Macaca fascicularis: one gene and its partners. The protein of the gene in region 2 interacts with the protein of the main gene of each other region in a biochemical or structural test. Links are inferred from orthologs where the notes say so. Each region holds a gene or a part of one and is shown on either strand. Other genes may lie near its edges. The genes, in order: LIN52, DYRK1A and DCAF7.

Evidence for each region.
Region 1: of the proteins of DYRK1A (region 2) and LIN52, one has a biochemical effect on the other in vitro, tested with the Homo sapiens proteins (3 studies listed by BioGRID). The link is inferred for Macaca fascicularis from reciprocal best matches to the Homo sapiens genes DYRK1A and LIN52.
Region 3: the proteins of DYRK1A (region 2) and DCAF7 form a complex in vitro, tested with the Homo sapiens proteins (2 studies listed by BioGRID). The link is inferred for Macaca fascicularis from reciprocal best matches to the Homo sapiens genes DYRK1A and DCAF7.

The regions. Positions count from the first base shown.
Region 1 is NC_088381.1:142,021,933-142,028,679, reverse strand, and holds the start of LIN52 (protein lin-52 homolog), read right to left. Parts: upstream 4,705-6,747; 5' UTR 4,698-4,704; coding exon 4,667-4,697; intron 1-4,666. Other genes in the region: ALDH6A1 (methylmalonate-semialdehyde/malonate-semialdehyde dehydrogenase [acylating], mitochondrial), read left to right, coding at 5,266-5,319.
Region 2 is NC_088377.1:9,631,276-9,638,013, forward strand, and holds the start of DYRK1A (dual specificity tyrosine-phosphorylation-regulated kinase 1A), read right to left. Parts: upstream 3,964-6,738; 5' UTR 3,631-3,963; intron 3,039-3,630; exon of another isoform or gene 3,010-3,038; intron 2,784-3,009; exon of another isoform or gene 2,178-2,783; intron 1-2,177. UniProt on the Homo sapiens protein: Dual-specificity kinase which possesses both serine/threonine and tyrosine kinase activities. Exhibits a substrate preference for proline at position P+1 and arginine at position P-3.
Region 3 is NC_088390.1:70,057,930-70,064,805, reverse strand, and holds the start of DCAF7 (DDB1- and CUL4-associated factor 7), read right to left. Parts: upstream 4,609-6,876; 5' UTR 4,376-4,608; coding exon 4,238-4,375; exon of another isoform or gene 4,113-4,237; coding exon of another isoform or gene 4,092-4,112; intron 1-4,091. UniProt on the Homo sapiens protein: Involved in craniofacial development. Acts upstream of the EDN1 pathway and is required for formation of the upper jaw equivalent, the palatoquadrate. The activity required for EDN1 pathway function differs between the first and second arches.

The DNA of each region.
Region 1 (6,747 bases), on a different chromosome or scaffold from region 2:
AGGAACCCACCCCTAGATGCTACCATGGGGCTGGAGCCCAAAAGTGCTCGCCCTGACTCCTACACCCGCCCATCTGCATGCTCCCCCTCCCGTAAAAGGTTTGAGTGCACAAAGACAAGCCACACCCCTGTCGCATATCCTGGGGTTAGGGAACTCTCCTGTTTCAACATGAGGACTTTATCTTCATCTGTATGCCAATGATTCCATATTTACATTTCCATTGCCAACCTTTCTAAAGAACTACAAAGGTTTATGTCCAAGTGGTTATTTGAATCCCTCTCTATTTACATATGAAAAAACCGCTTAAGGTCAGATGCAGTGGTGCACGCCTGTAATCCCAGCACTTTGGGAGGCCGAGATGGGTGGATTGCTTGAGTTTGAGACCAGCCTGGCCAACATGGCGAAACCCCATCTCTACAAAAAGCAAAAAATTAGCCAGGTGTGGTGGTGTCAGCCTGTAGTCCCAGCTACTTGGGAGGCTGAGGTGGCAGGATGGCTTGAGCCCAGAGGTGGTGGCTGCAGTGAGCTAAGATCACACCACTGCACTCCAGCCTGGGTATAAGAGCCACACCTTGTCTCAAAAAAAAAAAAAAAAAAAAAAAATTCCCACTTAAACCTAATTATCTTCAAAACCATATTCCCCCAATCTTCTCCCATCTCAAGAAATAGCACTACCATAAACCCTACTTCTCAAATCGAAAACCCAGATGTCATCCTTCATGCATTCTTTTCCTTCACCCTTCCATAACCAATCCATGAGTAAATCTAGTCATTTCTACCTTCAAAATACATCCTGAAATCGAATAACCCGAGGAACCACCACTTCCCTCTTGGACTACTTCAACAGCCTCTTAACAGATCTCTCTGCTCCCATTCTTACCCTTTCCCCTTCACGTCCCCAAATCTATTCTCTATAAAGAGGCCAGAAATGATTTTTTAAAATGTCAATCAGTTCGTGTCACTCTGCAGCTTAAAGTTCCTCCCAGTTAAATCTGTGAATGTGTATCTACCATATTCTATAAAATCTTACTCAGCCTCTGCCTAATTCTTTGACATCATTTCTCTTCCACTCTTCCCTTGCACAGAGTAGTACTCAATATTAACATTCGTTGAGTTTTTATTGTATGCTCAGTATGCTAACCAGTTGCATAACTAGTTCATTTAATGCTATAAACAGCGGTTCTTAACATTTTCTGGGTAAGCCACATCTTTGGAAATCTGGGAAAAAAAATGAACTCACTCCCCAGAAAATACACATATGTACAAAATTTTTCAACATGTACTTTTCTCTAAACTGAATTTGTTTTGCCAAATATCCCAAAGGAATTTCCAATGGCATTTTAATTGTAAAGAACTCAACTAATACACTGCCTTAACTAAAGCATTAAAAATTAGCTTCTCTTTGTTACCAATTTCTGAGGAATGTTCAACCATAACAAAAATAAAGTTATTGGGCCAGGTGCGGTGGCTCGTGTCTGGAATCCCAGTGCTTTGGGAAGCTGAGGCAGGAAGACTGTCTGAGCCCAGGAGTTTGAGACCAGCCTGGGCAACATAGTGAGACTTTATCTCTACAAAAAATAATAAGGCAGGGCACGGTGGCTCACGTCTGTAATCTTAGCACTTTGGGAGGCTGAGGTGAGTGGATCACCTGAGGTCAAGAGTTTGAGACCAGCCTGGGCAATATGGTGAAACCCTGTCTCTACTAAAAATACAAAAATTAGCCAGGTGTGGTGGTGTGTGCCTGTTATCCCAGCTACTGGAGAGGCTGAGGCATGAGAATTACTTGAACCCAGGAGGCAGGGATTGCAGTGACCCGAGATCGTGCCATGGCACTCCAGCCTGGGTGACAGAGTGAGACTCCGTCTCAAAACAAAATAAATAATAATAACAATAAATTAGCTGGGCATGGTGGTGTGAGCCTATAGTACCAGCTACTTGGGAGGTTGAGACGGGAGGATAGCTTGAGCCTTTGAGGGTGCAGTGAGCTATAATCATACCACTGCATTTCAGCATGGGCAATAGAGTGAGAGAGACCCTGTCTCTAAAAGAAAATTTTTAAAAAAATTATTGGGGGTACAATCTAATAACCTACACGGGTGACCTTATGATACCACAGTCTGGGATAGAACTCAGACTCTGCTGTGAGTCTTACTCTCATAAATTAAGTAATTAGATGGCTGTATTTGAATTTCAGTTTTCTCCTTTTCAAAGAAGCTCCAGCAAATTTATCACGAAAAAGACAAAAGAGTAAATGACAAACATTTTCAAGTCAATGTTATCTGAATTAAATTTTAAAGACAGTGACAGGTGGAACACTAAAAATAGAAGTGAGAGAGCTAGGCCATGGAATATTTTGGAATGAGATACTTACTGAGACGTTGAATTTAAGTTCAAAGTGCTTGACTTGATTTTTTCAGATTAAAAGAAAACATTAGGTGGAGAGGAGTAAAACTTTGTAAGAGATGAGAATGAAGACTTTTAAAAATCAAGAGTGCAAATAAAGTGACCATAGGGATGGCTAGAAGACCAAAGGAAAAAAATTTAACATTTTTAATACTCTTCCTGGCCAAAGAAAGGAAACTAAATTGAGAGAAGGCAAGGAAAAAAAAAACCAAACTCAAGGAACACATCTCTAAAATCCCCAAAATTTGTAAAAACAATTTTAAAATAAACTAAAAAATTTAATAACAATTACCTCTATTTCTATCACTTGGCTTTTTAAAAAAATTGTGGTGAAATATACATAAATTTTACCATTTTAATAACTTTTAAGTATAGAGTTCAGTGGTATTAAGTACATTAATTGTGCAATCATCACATTCATTTCCAGAACATTTTCACCTTCCCAAACTGAAATTTGGTACCCATTAACAATAACTCCCTATTCCCTTTTTAAATGCCTTTCTTTCTGGCGAGAGAAGGACATTTTTGCAAGAGAGCACCCAGGAAGGAGAATCTCTTTTGACTCCAAACATCCAAATTTCTTGTTTTTCCTTCTTTTTTTTTTGAGACGGGGTCTCGCTTTGTCACTCAGACTGGAGTGCAGTGACATGAACATGGTTCACTGCAGCCTCCACCCCCAGGCTCAAGTGATTCTCTTGCCTTAGCCCCCCAAGTAGCTGGGACTACAGGTGCACGGCACCACACCCAGATAATTTTTGTATTTTTTTGTAGAGATGGGGTTTCACCATGTTGTCTAGGCTCGTCTTCAACTCCTGAGCTCAGGCAATCTGCCTGCCTCAGCCTCCCAAAGTGCTGGGATTAGAAGTGTGAACCACCACGCCCGGCCATAATTTCTAACACAGTATGTACCTGTGCTCACAAAATTTAAGACTCGGTTAAACGTAAAACTTAAGATCAAGTAATATATTATTTCTGCACATATCTAATCAATCTTTCAATACATGTTAATTAAAGACCTACTGTTCGTCAGGCACTGTGCTAAACCTGGGATCCAGCTATGAACAAGACAAACTTGTAATTTATAATCTAGCGTACAAGGGGCAAAGTTAACATAGTAACTATGCTGACAAGGAAGATACTGAGGCAATGAATAATGGTGGGGAAGGGCAACTCCAGATACTGTGTTCTAAGAAAGACTCTTTGGGAGGTGACATCTAAAAAGAGAACTGAAACTGGAAAAAAAAAAAAAAAAAAAAGTGTGTATGTTTGAGTCATCTTTTGGTCTCCCAAAGCACCTAGCATTATGCCTTTCATGTAGTAGGTACTCAATACAGCTCACCTTGGCTTCAATTTCTTCATTCCTGCAATGAACTTCCAAGATTCCTTCCAAATACAAAATCTGTTTGTCTAAGGGAGGGAAACCTATATATCAATAAAATCGATATATAGTTGGGATGCGGATGGTAGAACTAAAAATGAGTTTAAAAATGACTGCAAGACCCTCTCTAAAGCAGAACCAAAAGCAAAAGCATGGGAGTATACCAAAACAACTTGTTACTTGAGATGACTTGCATTTTACACAACATATAAACAGAAATCGTTCATTCACTCAGCCTTAAGAAACAACACGTAAAGCAGATGAAAGAGCGGTTGCGACCTGTGCAAGACAACACTTAAAAGCTCAATACTCATTCTCCTCGCGACTCTCTCGGCGAGGGGCCGAGAACGTCCCCCGCTTCTCTTGCTGCCACGGCAATGGTCCCAAACTGAGGAGACAGGAGAGAGATCATGTTTCTCTTGCGGTTCACTATCGAGATGGGGTCAGCCAGCAGCCCCTGCGAGGGTTTGAGAATCGTTCCATCTGTGCGCTCAATCAGAAGAGAACTGATCCTTTCAATGGGATACCCCAAGGAGAAAACTACAGTAAGGCACGTCCTCCAGTAACATCTCCTCCTCTACCCTCAGCCTCGCCCAAATAGAGATAAGGAAGGGCCAGGGCGACCCCTGTCCTTTTACCCAGAATGAGTCCCTCCCTAGTGCCCTCCTCCACACGCCTGGTACAGAGCAGGGAAACTGGGCACCTCTGAAGCTGCTGCGAAGAACCGGTGAGCTGAAGACGGCGATGGATCGCAAGAAAAAAAACAAAAGGGAAATGAGAAGAGCCCAAGAAAGAAATGTATGTTCGAGGGGCAGAGACAGAGTGGATGTTCCCCATACAGCAAAGAAGGAGGCTGCAGGCAAACATCCCTAAGCCGGCTCTTACCGTCTGTGGGAGACGCCATCTTCCAACCCATGTCACGTGACGTGGCCAACCGTCGGCGGGAAAACGAGGATCCATAAGCCACGCCCCCAAAGAGAAACCCTATCCCCAACTCGCAGCCACGTCTCATTCCCTCGCCTCATAGGGCAATCTTCGCCCAGCCCCTCCCCTCATCATAGCCACGCCCCTTATGCAGTTGTTGAGGTGGAGCGACAGCAAAATTCTTGGAGGGTCTTATTTACTTTGCTCAGTGAAGGGGTGGGGCCTCGGTTGCGTCCTTGGCCAATCGGAGTTCCAGGTTAGGGGGGCGTCTCCTCCGTGTGCTCAGTATGGAGTGTCCAAGTCGGGGGCGTCTTCTCTACCTCCGCCAACGGCATTGGCTGAGGTAGGAGAGGGTGCGAGCATTTTCGCTCCTGACCAATCACTTATCCCCAGGACTGGGGTGTGAGAGGAGGAATCAGGTGTTAGGACGAGTGATTGGCTGAAGAAAATAGTCCTCCCCACCAATGAGGAAGCCCGGCAGGATGGAGGGCGAGGCCTGGCAGCTGTAGTGCGTCTGAGCTGTAGAGGAGCGGGTTGCGGAGCTAGGGCGGCCGAGAGCCATGGCGGCGGTAGTGGCGGCGGCGGCGGCGGTAGTGCGAGCCAGGATCCTGCAGGCGAGTGAGGGTGGCGCCAAGGCACCATGAAGCTAGGAATTGGATCCTTTCCGTCCACTCCCTGAGCCGTCCTCGGGCGGGACCACCTTCTTGGCCCAACCCCTTTTTGGCCGGACCTCCTACCTAACCTGTGGGCCCTGTCCCATGCCCAGCCCTCACTTCATACCCTCCCTCGTCCCGGATCCAACCCTGGGCTGTTACCCTTGGCCCTCTACCCTTTTACTCCTAAGCCTCCTCTTTTCTGGCTCTCGCCCACTCTCCTTCTCCAGCTCTGCCCGCTCCCTGCTGTCAGTCTCTTGCCCTCATCTCTCCATCCGCCCACCGTCTTTCCCTTTCACCTCTGCACCAGCGTTCTCTCTATCCCCCAGAAACTACTCTTTTTGGTTATTCTGTCCCCTGCCTTGAGTGTCCACGTTGCCATTGCTCCCTTCCCCCACCCTACTTCACTGTCCGTGGTGATCCGAGGTAAGAGGGAGGGGGAACGTGAGGGGCGAGGGTCAGTGTATGAACTTTGAATTTTCTTCTAGAAGTGGACTCTAGATTTTCACCAAAGGCAGCCATTTACCGAATTATTTTCCCTAAGTGTGGCTCTTTGTATTTTCCATAGACTGGCTGTCCCCTTTCTTGCCAAAACTTTCAGTGAAACTTTCAGCCAAGTTAAACAGTTTACATAGATAGGGCACATGTACATAGGGTAGATAAGGGCACACAGTTAACGCTACCAGTATGTTCCATGTACGTTCAAGGTACTAAACATTTTCAAAACAGGTGATAGAAAGTGGGAGCCAGGTAAGACAAGAAGTCTAAGTTCCCACCCCAAATCAGCTCTTCTAGTGCCACACACCCTCATCTCTGCACTTGGGGGATTGAGTCCTTTCTGAAGCCAACCTAAGGAGAAATGGTAAAGCTACAGGAGTTGCATGCCTGAGGCCTGTAATCTCCAACTCTATAGTCTTTCCCCTGTTCATGGCCTACCAAGGATTTAGAGTATGAGGCAAGATTTACTGCAGGCAAGAAACAATCAGCAAGAAACAACAGTGCCCTTCTTATTCATTACATCCAGTCTGAGAATTTCCTCTGTATTGCTGCGCTTTTAGGTAATATTAGTATTCACCAGGTTTCCGTGAGTTCTAGTACAGAAACTTGGGCATTTTCAAGATTCTTGGCAGAGTCAGCAAAGATTCACGTTTAAATATGCTATTTAATGGGGACGGTAGAAAGGATGAGTTTGAAGGGTTTGTCAGATGGTCTGGCCTCACTCATATTTCTTGCTGTGATCCTTGTTCTGTTCTAGTATCTTTTTTTAGTAGCAGGAAAACAAAGTTTCCACCCTATATTTTTCTTACCAACTTCTTGAAATCTTTTACTGAAATTGGTTTTTTTCCTTTGCCTCCTCTTCCCCTCCCATCACAATGAGTCATTGAGAAC
Region 2 (6,738 bases):
AGGTTTAACAGATGATCCTACACTTAGATCTCAAATTCCTAACAATAACAAGAGATCTCACTAGGTCATCTGGTCCATTTCTCATCCCTACCAATAATCACCATTCATTCAAGTCTATTCCTTCAAACCTTTCTTCAACACCCACCAGGTAAAAAGGAGTGTGCCTTCGTGGTGCAAACACAAGGGGTGATCCTTCCTCCTTTAATGATCTCTGAGGTCTTGAGGTAAAAATGAAATGTTTACAACTAGTCTTACAAGAGAACTAGGTGTAGACATTGACAGGAGTCAACTTTCTAGCATGGTTTGAAGTCTTAAATAAATTTGGACAGCTACCATAAACACCACTGCTATACCAGGGAAAATCCTCCAAAAGTACTGGGATACTTGAAGTATACGTAAAAAATCTTAACTACAATCAAGTAAGCTTTTTTCATAACCAGTTGCTTTGAAATGATCTTCTGCAGTTTAAAACCTTAGCACATGAAACTTTAGTTCTAGTCTCACATTTTTAAAAGTCTACTTGAAAACCATATTCTCCTAAAGTAACTGATCAAGATACGAGAAATTTAAGAAAACAAAAACTAAAGGTAATTCCACTGAATTATTAAAACACCTCAAAATCAAAATGCTAAATATATTAACTTTGGACACAAAATATAAAGGGGTCACAGAGGCTCTTAAGCAAAGAATAAAATAACTAAAAATAACTTCACACAAAACTTTCTTATGACTCATCAATACTCAGAAGATGATTTTAATCAAAATTAAGTTTGAAGTACAAAACACACCAAGGAGTATTTTTTAATTCCTTTCATTCAAAAATTAACTACATAGTTTTCTTGGGGGGAAAAAAAGGACGGAAAAGTTTCATTAAGAGGGCTCATTACCATTACTTTACCTTTCGGCCTCGGCAAGCCACAAAGGTTATTAATTCCATGCTAAAAACCATACGGGGACACAATCTCTAGGTTAGAACCCTGAGTCATTACACACGAATCACTCCAAAATTTGCCAGTATTTATAATAATAAGTTACACCCTAGTGATTCACAAGTCCAGACTGGCTACAGCTTCCCGGCTCCTGGAGTCCCAGCTGTATTACCTCAGACCAGTCAGTGCCCCTTCTCCAGGCTCAGTCTCCTCATCTGTAAAATGGGAACAGTTCCTACCGGCTGGGCAAGCTGGTCGCTCCACGGAAAACCCTGAGAACAGCGCCTGGCACTTGTGAAAACCATATTCTAAGGCGTATTTTCTGACAATTTGGGAGGAATTCAAGAACCAAATGGTGCTGGCATTCCTGCGCTGCGCCTAGATTACGGGATTCGTGTCACCTAGGGTTGGGCTAAAGGCACAGGCAAGGAACCGAAGTCACTGACTCACTAATTTTACCATTTTTAACTATTTCAGATTAGGGAGGAGCCTTTGGCCAAGAGCTGAACTGCTCAGCAGCTTCAGTGGCTCCGAAGCGAGAGTGGGTTTGTGCCTATAAATAGACTCGTGAAGTTTTGTGGCGATACACAGGTATCCATTCTAATTCACCTCTCCTCAGCCACCAACTCCCCCGGCTGCCGGGCAGGTCATCCCTCCACCCCGAGCCGCCGGGGACACTCGCGCTCCCCGCCCAACATCGGAGACCAGTGAGTGCCCCTCGCTCAGGCGCGGACCCCCAGGGCCGCCGAGGCAGCGGCTCCCGACCTTCCCCGGCGCCCGGCCCGGCCCCGCCGTCCTCGCCCAGCCGGCCCCATTTTCTTAACCCGTGCATTGTCCTTGCGAAGCACCCCGGCGGTTCCCACACTGGTGGGGACCGAGAGGAGGGACGAGGGAGGAGCTGGGGGAAGAAGATGAGGAGGAAGAGGAGGAGGAAGACAACCTCCACCCCTTCGCTCGGGCGGCCAGTGAAGGTCTGGCGCTGTCTACGGCCCCCCAGGCCCCGGCTCCCGGGAGGCCGCGGCCCCCGCTCCCACCCTCCGCAACTTTCCCTCCGCTCGCGCCCGCCGCTCCTTTGGGACCGGGCCTGAGGCTCCCTCCCCCGGCGGCCGGCCCAGGGCCCGCGGCGCCTCCTCCTAAAATGGCAGGTCCCTCCCTCCGCCCGGCCGGCCTCGGCTCGGGCCCGGCTGCGGGCCGCCGGGGTAGCCGAGCGCCGAGCCGGGCGGGGCCGCGGCCGGGCCGGACACTCACCGGGACGATGGCGGGGCGCTCGCGCCGCTTCCTCCGGTGAGTCTCAGCCTCGGGCTCCCGCGCCGCGCTCCCGCTCCCGCCGCGGCCTCCGCAGCCAGCGCCGCCCCGGCCGCCTCTCTCCGCCCCCGGCGCTCCGGCTCCTGGCCGCGCCGCAGCCTGCTCAGTCTCTCCTCGGCTCGCGGTTCCAGCGGCGCCCGGGGCCGGGGAGGCGACAGCCCCCTCCCCGGCAAATACCGCAGTCCCCGGGCCCCGATTCCCGGCGGCGGGGCCGCGCGGCCCGGCCCGGCACAGAGGGCGGCGGCGGCGAGGCCGGGCGCCGAGCGGCGGCTGCTGCCGGCGGCTTCTTCCCGAGGAGGATTTTGTAAATCTCACAAAATGGCGCGCGCTCCGAACCTGCGCAGCGAGAAGCGCCGGGGCCCGGGCGGCGGCGGCGGCTCCTCCGCCAGGAGAGCCCGAACCGCCCGCCCCCGAGTCCCCGCACAGACAGACAGACACTCGCACACACCCGCACACTCGCGCGCACACTCGCCCTCGCACACGCTCCCTCGCACACACTCGCACTCACACCGGTCCCGCCCGCTCGCCGGCGGCGGCAGCGGCACCAACAGCAGCAGCAGGAACAGCAGCAGCAGAAGCGGCGGCGGCGGCGCCCGCACCCCCCGCTCGGGGTGTCCGCTCTCTGAGCCCGACCTGGGCCGCGATCAGCAGCAGCGACGGCAGCAGTCTCCCCGGATACCCCCGCCGCGGTTGCCGCCGCCACCCCCGCCTCACTCCAATGGGGCTTTTTATTATTATTCGGGCGGGAAGCGAAAGGGTTTAAAAAAAAACCAACCAACAAAATGGCGACGGACCGACCCGGTCGCTATAGCAACTGTCAATCAAAACGCAAAACCCCGGCTGACGTGCTGACGTCCTCCTCCCGCCCCCCGGCCCCGATCCGGCGGGCGGGGCCTGTTGCTCAGGTAACGGCAGATTCCGTTCCCTCCTTTCCGTCTCCCCCTCCGTCCCCAGCCAACCACCCAACCCCCTCAGGTCACGTGAAGGATAAATTCGGAGCTCGGGCCCGCTACGAGTGTCAGAGGAGGGCGCGTGATTCGCCCGGGGGAGGGGAGAGGAGGGGGACGGCTAGGCCGAGAGAGGGTAGGGACTGGGGAAGGGGGGGCGAGGCGGCGGCCAGGCCTGTGCGCGAGCGCCCGCCGCCTCCCGGCCGCCTCGCCCCGCCCCGCGCCCGCGCCGACTGCGGCCCGGGGAGCGCGCGCGGCCTCCCGCGCCGCCGCCCCCGCAGCCCTAGCGCCCCGCGCTTCCGCGTTGGCGCCCGCAGCCCCGCCCGCGCCGGGGGGAGGGGAGGGCTGCCCCGGGCGGGGGCGGGGGAGGGGGAGGGTCGGGGCGCCGCGGCCTTCGGGCAGGGACCCGGGAAGCCCACCCCGCACGCCCGGGCCTGGAGGGCTCTCACCGCGGTCCGGACGCCGCGCTCGCCTTTCTCCCCGGGAAGCGCGCCGGCCGCGGCCGGCCGCGCGTGGAGCCGGTTCTTCGAAGGGCTCGCGGGCCTCCTCGCCGGAAAATGCCGGCGGAGGCCGCGGTGGGGGCGGGGAGGAGCCGCCGCCGGGCCCCAGACATCGCAGGAATTCCGGACGCTGCGCCGGGCCCCGGCGGCCCTGAGGCTGGCACCCGGCTCCGGTCGGGCCGCTCGGGTTTTGTGGCGCCCGAGACCAGCGTTGGGAAATTAGGCTGGAGCCATCATGAAAACTTTTTCAGGCTGTGCACGCTCGCCCGTCCCTGCCCATCTGCTTCCAACCCCTCCCCACCTTTCTGGGCGCAGCCTGCCTGCTCCATCGGAATGCCCCTTAGATAAATCCCCTTGTGCTGTTACTGTGTCCTTGTCGTCCAGCTCCCTGGTTTTCTTTTCTGTGCAGCTCCTCGGTTTCCAGCGTCTTAATTTGCCTACTTGTCCTTAACCATCAAAACTCTTTATTAATATCCTGGCTTTCGCTGATTTTTATTCTGTCTACCCCTTCTGCCTGCCTATGTATTGCTGGGTGAGCTCCTGAGGCTTGAAAACCCAAGTATGCCATGCTGGCTGCGTTGTAACCGGCATAGAGCCACCAGCTAAAAATTGTATTTTGTACCAGCTCTAATGGCATTTAATAAATGTATAGCTTAAAAAAGTGTGTGTGTGTACTATTTTACAGCAGAGTCACTAATTGATTTCTAAGCTTGATTTTGCCTCCTTGTGATAGTGTTCATAACCAATTTTTTTCATAAACCTCACAAATATAGTAGCAACAGATAAAATTTTATAAACGATATTAGGTGTAAAAAACTAGCAGTAAATACCGCTGTGTATGCTACATGACTCAAAGACACCTGCTTTAAATGATTTCCAGCAAAAATGTCCTTGCTACAGTTACTAGGACATTGATGTACTAAGGTAACCATTCAGATTAGCACAGACTGAAAGAAATCCGACTAAACCGAAAATAAACTGGTCAAAAAGTAATTACTAAGGTAGCCATTCAGATTAGCACAGACTTGGAAAGAAACCTGACTAAACCGAAAATAAATTGGTCAAAAAGTAATCGGGCAAATAGCTTGCTTTCAGACTGATCTCCATAATATAAAAAAAAAGTTGCCGTAACGGGCAAAAGTTCTTTCGGATTATTGTTTCAAAATTGCCCTGCTAATGTGATTAAAGTCCACGGTCAACTTAATTGTTTTGAAGAAAGAGGAAGTGGCCCAGAGCGCCCCTTATTCAGAGGAGAGGTCGCTACCTGGTTCCTCCCAAGCTCAAACTTCCACCTATACAACCAACTCCTTCCTCTCTGCTCCCGGGTCTCTCTTTCCTGCCCCCACCCCATCCCACCCCGTTAACCAAGCTTTCGCTTCTATCAGAGCACGTCAGCATTTGCAACCTTTAGTACTAAATTAAATTTGACTCAAAGTTTTATTCCTGGTAATGGAAGAAACTTGCGTAGTTAATCTTCTTAGGTAACCGGAACAGAATATGACAGTGTCTCAAGATATGTGTCCTTGTCTTCAGTTCAAATCAACCCAGAAGATCATCGGAGTAGGGCAGAATCTTGAGATTAGAAACGTGTGGGAATAGAAGGCATCGCTGGTCTTCGTATCTAGAAATCTGCACCCCCTTTTTCCCCAGTGTGACAGCCTTGGACAACATTGGTCAGTGAATGTCATATCCAGGTTGGAATGCTATAAAATGGTTTTACACAGGCTTCGCCTAAAAACGTAACCTGTAAATTACAGCTGGCTCCAAACAAGTGACCACATGTAGGCCGGAAGGACTCTGGTACAGATGCCAGCTGACCTGGTTCACAGATGAAATCCCTGTCATCCAAGAATCTCCCCATTAGATTCACTTACAGGTGTATTTATTCATAGACTTTTCACCTTGAAAAGCAAAGGCCCTCAGCTTATAGGTGGTAACAGCCTCCACTTATCCAGCACGTTCTAGAGTATCTCTAATCCTCACAGCAACATTGCATCCCCACTATAGGGATGAGAAAACAAGTCCTGAATAATTGCATGACTTTTCTCAAGGCAGTCACCACTCACTAGTAAGTGGTGAAGCCAGGATTCAAACACAGGTATAATTGCAAAGCCCATGTTCTTTCCAACACACCAAGATGATTCAAGATTACGTGGAGGTAGAGTCTTCACAGAGGATATCGAGTTGGGTCTCTAGAGTGAACCCTAATCCAAAATGACTGCTGTCCTTATGAAAAGGAGAAATTTGGGCCGGTTGCAGTGGCTCAAGCCTGTAATCCCGGCACTTTGGGAGGCCGAGATGGGCGGATCACGAGTTCAGGAGATCGAGACCATCCGGGCTAACACGGTGAAACTCCGTCTCTACTAAAAAAATACAAAAAACTAGCCGGGCGAGGTGGCGGGCGCCTGTAGTCCCAGCTACTTGGAGGCTGAGGCAGGAGAATGGCATGAACCCGGGAGGTGGAGCTTGCAGTGAGCTGAGATCCGGCCACTGCACTCCAGCCCGGGCGACAGAGCAAGACTCCGTCTCCAAAAAAAAGGGAGAAATTTGGACGGACACAAACACATACGAAGACAACGTGAAGACACCAGGAGAAGGTGGCCATCTACAAACCACCGCGCACCTGAGGCTACCAGAAGCTGACAAAGAAGCATGGAACAGATTCTGTCTTACGGCCATGAGAGGAAACCAACCCTGCCAACACCTTGATTTTGGATTTCTGACCTCCAGAACTACAAGACAATACATTTCTGTTGTTTAAGCCACCTAGTTGTTGGTACTTTATAGTGGCACTAAAGGAAACTAACACACAGATGCATGCCAAGATGGTGGTTTCTTGTGGTTGGTTTCACATTCGTTAGTGACCACTCTTGGTGATGCACTATTCGAAGCCTGTAAGTCCAGTAGTTGGAATCTCGCTGAGAGTTATAACCCAAATAAATATTCCAAGGACAAACAAACAAACCAATATGCCTATCACTGCCCCTCATGCCAAGTGAGAAGGTGAACAATTTGCATTTGGTTCCTGGACAGTGGCATGGCCTGGCATCTGACATC
Region 3 (6,876 bases), on a different chromosome or scaffold from region 2:
AAACCAACCCTGAAACATGCACTTAAGTGAAACAGAAGCCCAGGAACTGCTACCCAGCTTTTCCCAATAAAAGAGGGGCAATAACACCTGGGCCTAAAGACCAAAGATATTGTCAAAACACAGGAGAAATGCCAAATTCTTGTATCTGACTTACTGTAGGTAAGCCAGGTAGAACAAGAGAAAATGAATTTAAGCTATAAAATTACACTACTTGGAGTCTGACTACAAGAATCTGCTAGACTGCAAAATGAGTTGAGTTGAAAGAGATCAGGGAATTTTTCCCCCAGAGTCTTTAAAAGGCAGAGAATGAAATAATGACCTTTTCAGCTACCTTTCTGACCTCTTATTCCTGAATCCTCTCTGGAAAATACAAAAGTTAAATTTACTAAACAGTCATATAATTCTCTTTGGTTATATTTCAATTACAGGTACAGTAATGATAATGATTAAATAACAGCTAACATCTCTATATGGCTTACTCCATGCCAGGTGGAGTTCCTAAGTCCATTACATATATTTACTCATTTAATCTCTGAACAAGGTAGATGTTATTATTTATTGCCCTAATTTTACAGATGAGGAAACTGAGACACAGAGGATAACTTGCCCAAGGCAATACAAAACTGGGAAGTGGCAGGACTTAGATAACCCAGGCTAATCACAGAGCTTTTTTCATCGGTGAAGTTGGATGGAAGGGTAGAGCCAATGTTTAGGGGCATGCAGGCACAAAAAGATCAGATTCCTGCCTCTGGCCAGCAAATGCCAAGGTAGCTCCAGGGCCATGTTCTGAGAGTGCCATCTGATCCCTTAACCACTAGTGTGTCTGTCACCTATCTCCAAGTCTGTTAACTTCAAGGGTGGAGCCCAGGAATGTGCAGCTCCCTTGGGATTCTCACACACTAAAATTTAGAGAACCTGTTGCTCCAACACCAATCCTGCTTTATTCCTCAAGAGACCACAACAAAAGAAGGTAGAAACATAATAACCAATAACGATGCTGTTTTTTGAGCATCGTTATTTGAGGGTCTGGCTCTGTCGCCCAGGCTGGAGTGCAGTGGCATGCTCTTTGCTCACTGTAACCTCTGCCTCCTGGGCTCAAACTTTCCTCCTACCTCACCTTCCCAAGTAGCTGGACTACAGGCAGATGCCACCATACCTGGCTAATTTTTTAATGTTTTTGTACAGTCAGGGTTTCTCCATGTTGCCCAGGTTGGTATCAAACTCCTGGACTGAAGTGATTCTCCCATCTCAGCCTCCCAAAGTGCTAGGATTACAGGTGTGAAGCACCACGCCCAGCCCTATAATGGGGCTTTTTATTCCAGGTGTATTTGATAGAATCTGTTTTTTTACTCTGCAATAATTCCCAAATTTAGTCACACGAAGGAACACCTGGAAATCAATTTCTTAAACTGTTGATAGACTTAATTCTATGGATCAACTAGGAACAATTTTACGTTAGGAAAACATGAGTATGTTAATATCAAATTTTAAAAATTATAACCATGTTTTCTTAGTGAATGTCTCCACACTAAAAAGATGACCACTTCTAGCCTTTTTCATCAATGTTAATTCGCTGTGTCCATTTACTTTTTCCTCTGCTGGTGATCACTATCCATGGCAAGCAGGAACCAATGGTCTAAAAATTCCAACCAATAATTCTAAAGTTTCTCCAAATTACGAAGTCGACCACGTCTTTGGCAGGGCTTCTCACAAACTTAGCTTCAGAATCATTGCTTTAAGGCAGGATTTGCTGCTCACCAACCACTAGACATAATCCTGTCTCGCAGGGTTTCTTAACTTGGGGTCTGTGAACTTGAATTGGAAAATCATGCCCATATTTCCATTCACCTCTAGCTAAATATGTTTTATTTCCTTCAATTACAAATGGGTTAGGTGCTCACAGTGGCATAAGTATCTGTGACTTCACCAGCAAGAGAAATATTTTTTCCCACCACGGTGCAGTTAAGCATCTTGAAATGCTGTTTACCCTTGTCACCACTTCAAAATTACATTAATAATTACACTGGATGGTGTAAATCAATATATTTATTAAAAGTACATATGACTACATCACCACTTCTAAAAACATGTTTATATCTGTAGTGCAACGTAAGTGGTTTCTTTTGTAATTCTACGTGTTCTATGCATTTGAAAACATAACTATGAGAAGGGGTCTATTGGTATCAGATGATCATAGCACACAGAATTTAAGAACCCTGACCTACTGACAGGTGGAGGCACAAAAATGATTTTAAGACAGCACATTGCCTACATCATGTGAGTTAAGATATAGCTAACTGCTTACGCTGTTGATAGTGGGGTTATTAGTTTGCATTTCACTGCTAAGCCATGCTACCTGTGTGCCTGGAACAAAGAGGAAGCTCCAGAGAGTTGCTAAAAGAAAGGACAAACTGGGGTAGAGTTCCTGCAACAGCAGTTTGACTACTCCATTGATTCTACCAGCAGCCTAACTGTGGCTCAGTTTCTCCTCTCTGGAGAATAGGAGTAACTATTGTTTACCCCGTGACACTGGAAAAACACACAGGAAAAAAACATTAATTTGTGTGAAAAATTAAGCTTAAGCTCTTTGAAAGACATACTTTTTTATTTTCCACGTGTATCCTTAAACAATAGTTCTAGTGGTCTTAATTTTACTAACACGGTGTCCACATCAGAATCTTGAATCCCATTCCCAGTTCAGCTGTCCACAATGGGCCACAAGGAAGAAAGAAGCATCAGAGGAAAGGAAATACAGCTCTATTTCGCCCGGGAAATGGGTGAACTTAAAGATCAGTGCATATTGCTTGGATTTGTTTGTAAATATGTTCACGTATGTGTAATGTCTGGACAATGAAAATTCATCGCTTTCATCAGCTTCTCAAAGAGGACTCCAAAGAAGACCTACTCTAGAGAAACGTGCTCCTGAAAAACTGTAAACAAACTGTAAAATATTCAAATTTCTTTTTTACAAGACCCTCACATGTAAACCAGAACCCCTTCCCTACAGCAAACTGTGGGTCACAGATAATAAAACAGGCCTGTGCAACACCTCACAGCTAGTCAATAATCAGACAGGACCCACTCCTAGACCACCTGGCTTTTTCCCCCCTGCATGAGCCTTGTCACTGAACAGTTTTCTTCTTCTTCTTTTTTTTTTTTTTTTTTTGTATTTTAGTAGACAGCGTTTCACCTTGTTACCCAGCCTGGTCGCAAACTCCTGAGCTCAGGTAATCTGCCTGCCTCGGCCTCCCAAAGTGCTGGGATTACAGGCGTGAATCACCGCGCCCAGCCAGTTTTACTCTTCTTAAATCTGATGCTCATGGCATAAGGCAGTAGTGGCTTTAAATATCACTAGCCACAGCTTTCAGTTGCTCTGATCGCTATCATTCAACTTTAATTGAGTAAAAGGAAGAAAGCAAAGAAAATGCTTCCAACTGACTTATTCAGCTTTCAAAGATGAGTTTATGTTGCAATGCCAGTTTAAAAGCTCCCCTACGACACCGTGCTTCTATAAAGGATTCTCAAATTGATGAATGTCCAGCAAGATCTATTACTAAAGGTCACACAACTGTACTAGCATGAAACAAGCCAAAAGATAAGGCCCTGTCATCCTGTGTTCAGGAAACAACCGCGGGATCATGCCACAGGCCAAGATTTCCAAAGAGATTGCTTTAGAGAGAATGGTTATCAGGAAGCAAGAGCAACAGTAATTCTGGCAGAAGGGCTAGGATCCACACCCGGGGTGTGGGAGTAGGGGGCGGGGAAGCTTGTACAACAGATCGTCTTAATAGAAATCTAGTGTGGCCAAGAGTGCACGACCGCGAATAGAAGCGTCTGCATTTTCCTTCACAACTACCACTCCCTCTTCCCTTCCCCGCCCACCAACGAAAAAAATGCGGCAGGAGTGGAGAGCACGGGAGGAATAAATGGAGTATCTTTGGGGCGTAAACCCGGTTTTAAGACCTGTTTCCACCACGAAATAGCTGCCTGACACAGGCAAGTCACAAAACCGTGACTCAGTTTCCCCACTACACTGCCGACTACACAAGAATGCTGCCGGGATTAAATGAGACAGACAACGAGTACGAAACCTTCAGCACAGGGCCAGACATTGGAACCGCTCCATGGCCCTAAGGCGAGTCCGCAGGAGGGTTCTGGGGCCTGGGCTCCGGCCCGGAAAGGGCGCTCCCGGGGCCCGCTCCCCGCCAGCTGGGTTCCGAGGCCCTGCCCGGCCCACCTTGTTGTTGTACTCCTCCACGAAGCTGCCCAGCGCCAAGCGAAAGCGCTTATCGGGCCGCACACTCCAGTTCATCGCGTAGACCGTCCAGGGCGCTTCATACTTGTAGATCTCCTTCCGTTTGCCGTGCAGGGACATGGTGGCGGCGGGGCCGCAGTACGGGCCGGGTCAACAGTGGGCTGCGGCGGGCGGGGTGCGAGTCGGGCGGGGAGCCGGGCCTGAGATCTATGGGTCCGAAGGGAGGAGGGGCGGGGGCGGGCAGGAACGGCCTACCCCGGAAGCGGGGATGCGGCGACAAACAACGACAACGACCGAACCCGACCCCTAGTTTCAAACCAGCTTGGGCACCGACGACAACCACCTTCCGTTTCGGGACGCCGCCCCGCCCTCTCGGAACGGAAGCCACGGGACCCCTGCAGCGCCACCGGCCGTTGGTTGCCTGACACGTCCTTTCGAAAGGATTCTTTCTTCTCATTGGTTATTGCGGCCGTAGCGTGTGAAATCTCCTCGTTATTGGGTTAAATGTTTGTCATTGCAACTACTCGCCCCGCCCAACTCTCGGAGGCAGGCGCTTTGGCAGCCCCAAAGATCATTGGCTGACCAAGATGTCAGTCAGGCAGATAACGGCGCAGTGCGGGTGGTGGGGGCGTGGGTGGCCGGGAGGCGAGCGTGCTGGAGTAGCGGGCCTCCAAGTTCTAGGCCAAGTCTCTGAGCGTGAAACTGTCTGTGACCTGCGCTGACTTCTCCTCTGCTGCTGCTGTTCTGAGCGGCCTTTCCATGCTGTCGAGTAAAAGTACAATTCTGCTTTAGCGGAAGACCTACTACTTTCGCGGGACCGAGCCCCGCGGCCTGGCAGCCTGGCCTATGCGCAACGGGTACCACCTTCCTGCCCCTTCTCTTCCCAAGGCCCCTTTAACCCGAAAGCTGCTGTCTTCGGGCCTCAGGGCCAGGCTTCAGGGGCGCAGCTGCGCTCAGGGCCAGGCCAGCTTGAGTCAGGTCCTCCCGCGCTTTCCTGCAGGATCTAGAAATGTCCCCGAATTCTGGGGTAGACACCGACCTGACCAGCTTGGCTCTGTTTTTGTCGGTTCCCATCCTGTACCTTCCCCGCCGTGCATCCCAACGCAAATGCTAATCCAGCCCCAAAAGTATCTGTGCCTGTGAGTTTGAAAGGGAGAAGGGCCAGAGACCAAGTGACACCTTTATATAAATGGTTTCCAATTCTTAGCTTTCATCAAAATTGAAGGAGGTTTGTATTGAATTGTTGGATTATAACATTAAAGTTTTTTTTTTTTTTTTTTTTTTTTTTAAAGACAGGGTCTTGCCCTGTCACCCAGGCTGGAGTGCACTGGTGTGATAAGGGCTCACTGTAGCCTCGACTGCCTAGGCTCAAACGATTCCACTTTAGCCTCCAGAGCAGCTGGAACAACAGACGTTTGCCACCACACCTAGCTATTTTTAAATTATTTGTAGAGATGAGATCTCTCCATGTTGCCCAGGCTGATCTCGAACTTAGGCTCAAGCGACCCTCCCACATCAGCATCCAGAAGTTCCGGGATTACAGGCTTGAGCCACCATTCTGGGCGCTAAATATAATTTTTAGTGAAAATGATTTTTCCATCTCCCAGGTTTAAGTGATTCTCTTGCCTCAGCCTCCCGAGTAGCTGGGATTACAGGGGTGTACCACCACGGCCAGCTAATTTTTGTATTTTTAGTAGAGACAGGGTTTCACCATGTTGACCATGCTGGTGTCGAACTCCTGACCTCAAATGATCTGCCAGCCTTGGCCTCCGAAAGTGTTGGGATTATAGGCGTGAGCCACCACATCTGCCCAAGAAATCCCCCTTATTTTTTTATTTTATTTTATTTTTGAGACAGGGTCTCGCTGTGTTGCCCAGGCTCTAGTGCAGTGGCACTATCTTGGCTCACTGCAACCTCCGCCTTCAGGGTTCAAGTGATTCTCCTGCTTCAGCCTCCTGAGTAGCTGGGATCACAGGTGCCCGCCACCACGCCCAGCTAAAGGAAATCCCCTGTAAAGAGGAAAGTTTAAAAAAAAATTTAAAAAGGAAAGAAAAAGAAGTACAAAATTTGTGGTACCTTGTCTTATTCTAATAAAAAATAATGATATTTAGCCACAGATAATAGGAACTAATGGGGGGAGGAAATTTTTTCTTTTGTGACCTACATTTCCAATAAAATTTCAGTTTTTATTAGAAAATTGAATATAAATGTTGTTTTGAACAACTGTACTACTAATAGATGTAACCCTTAAAGCCTTATTAAAGTTACAAAAAATTAATTTTAAAATGTCAATTAATTGATACACATTTGTTTTGAGGCAGGGTCTTGCTCTGTTACCCAGGTGGTAGTGCAGTGGGGGAGACACTGCTTATTGCAGCCTTGGCCTCCCGGGCTCAAGCAATCCTCCTACCTCCTTTTATTTTTTGTAGAGACAAGGTCTTGCTGTATTACCCAGGCTGGGTTCAACCGGTCCTCCCACCTCAGCCTCCCAAAGTGCTGGGATTATAGGCGTGAGCCACCCCGTGACCAACCTTTTTTTTTTTTTTTTTTTTTTTAAGAGACTGAGTCTTGGCCGGGCGCGGTGGCTCAAGCCTGTAATCCCAGCACTTTGGGAGGCCGAG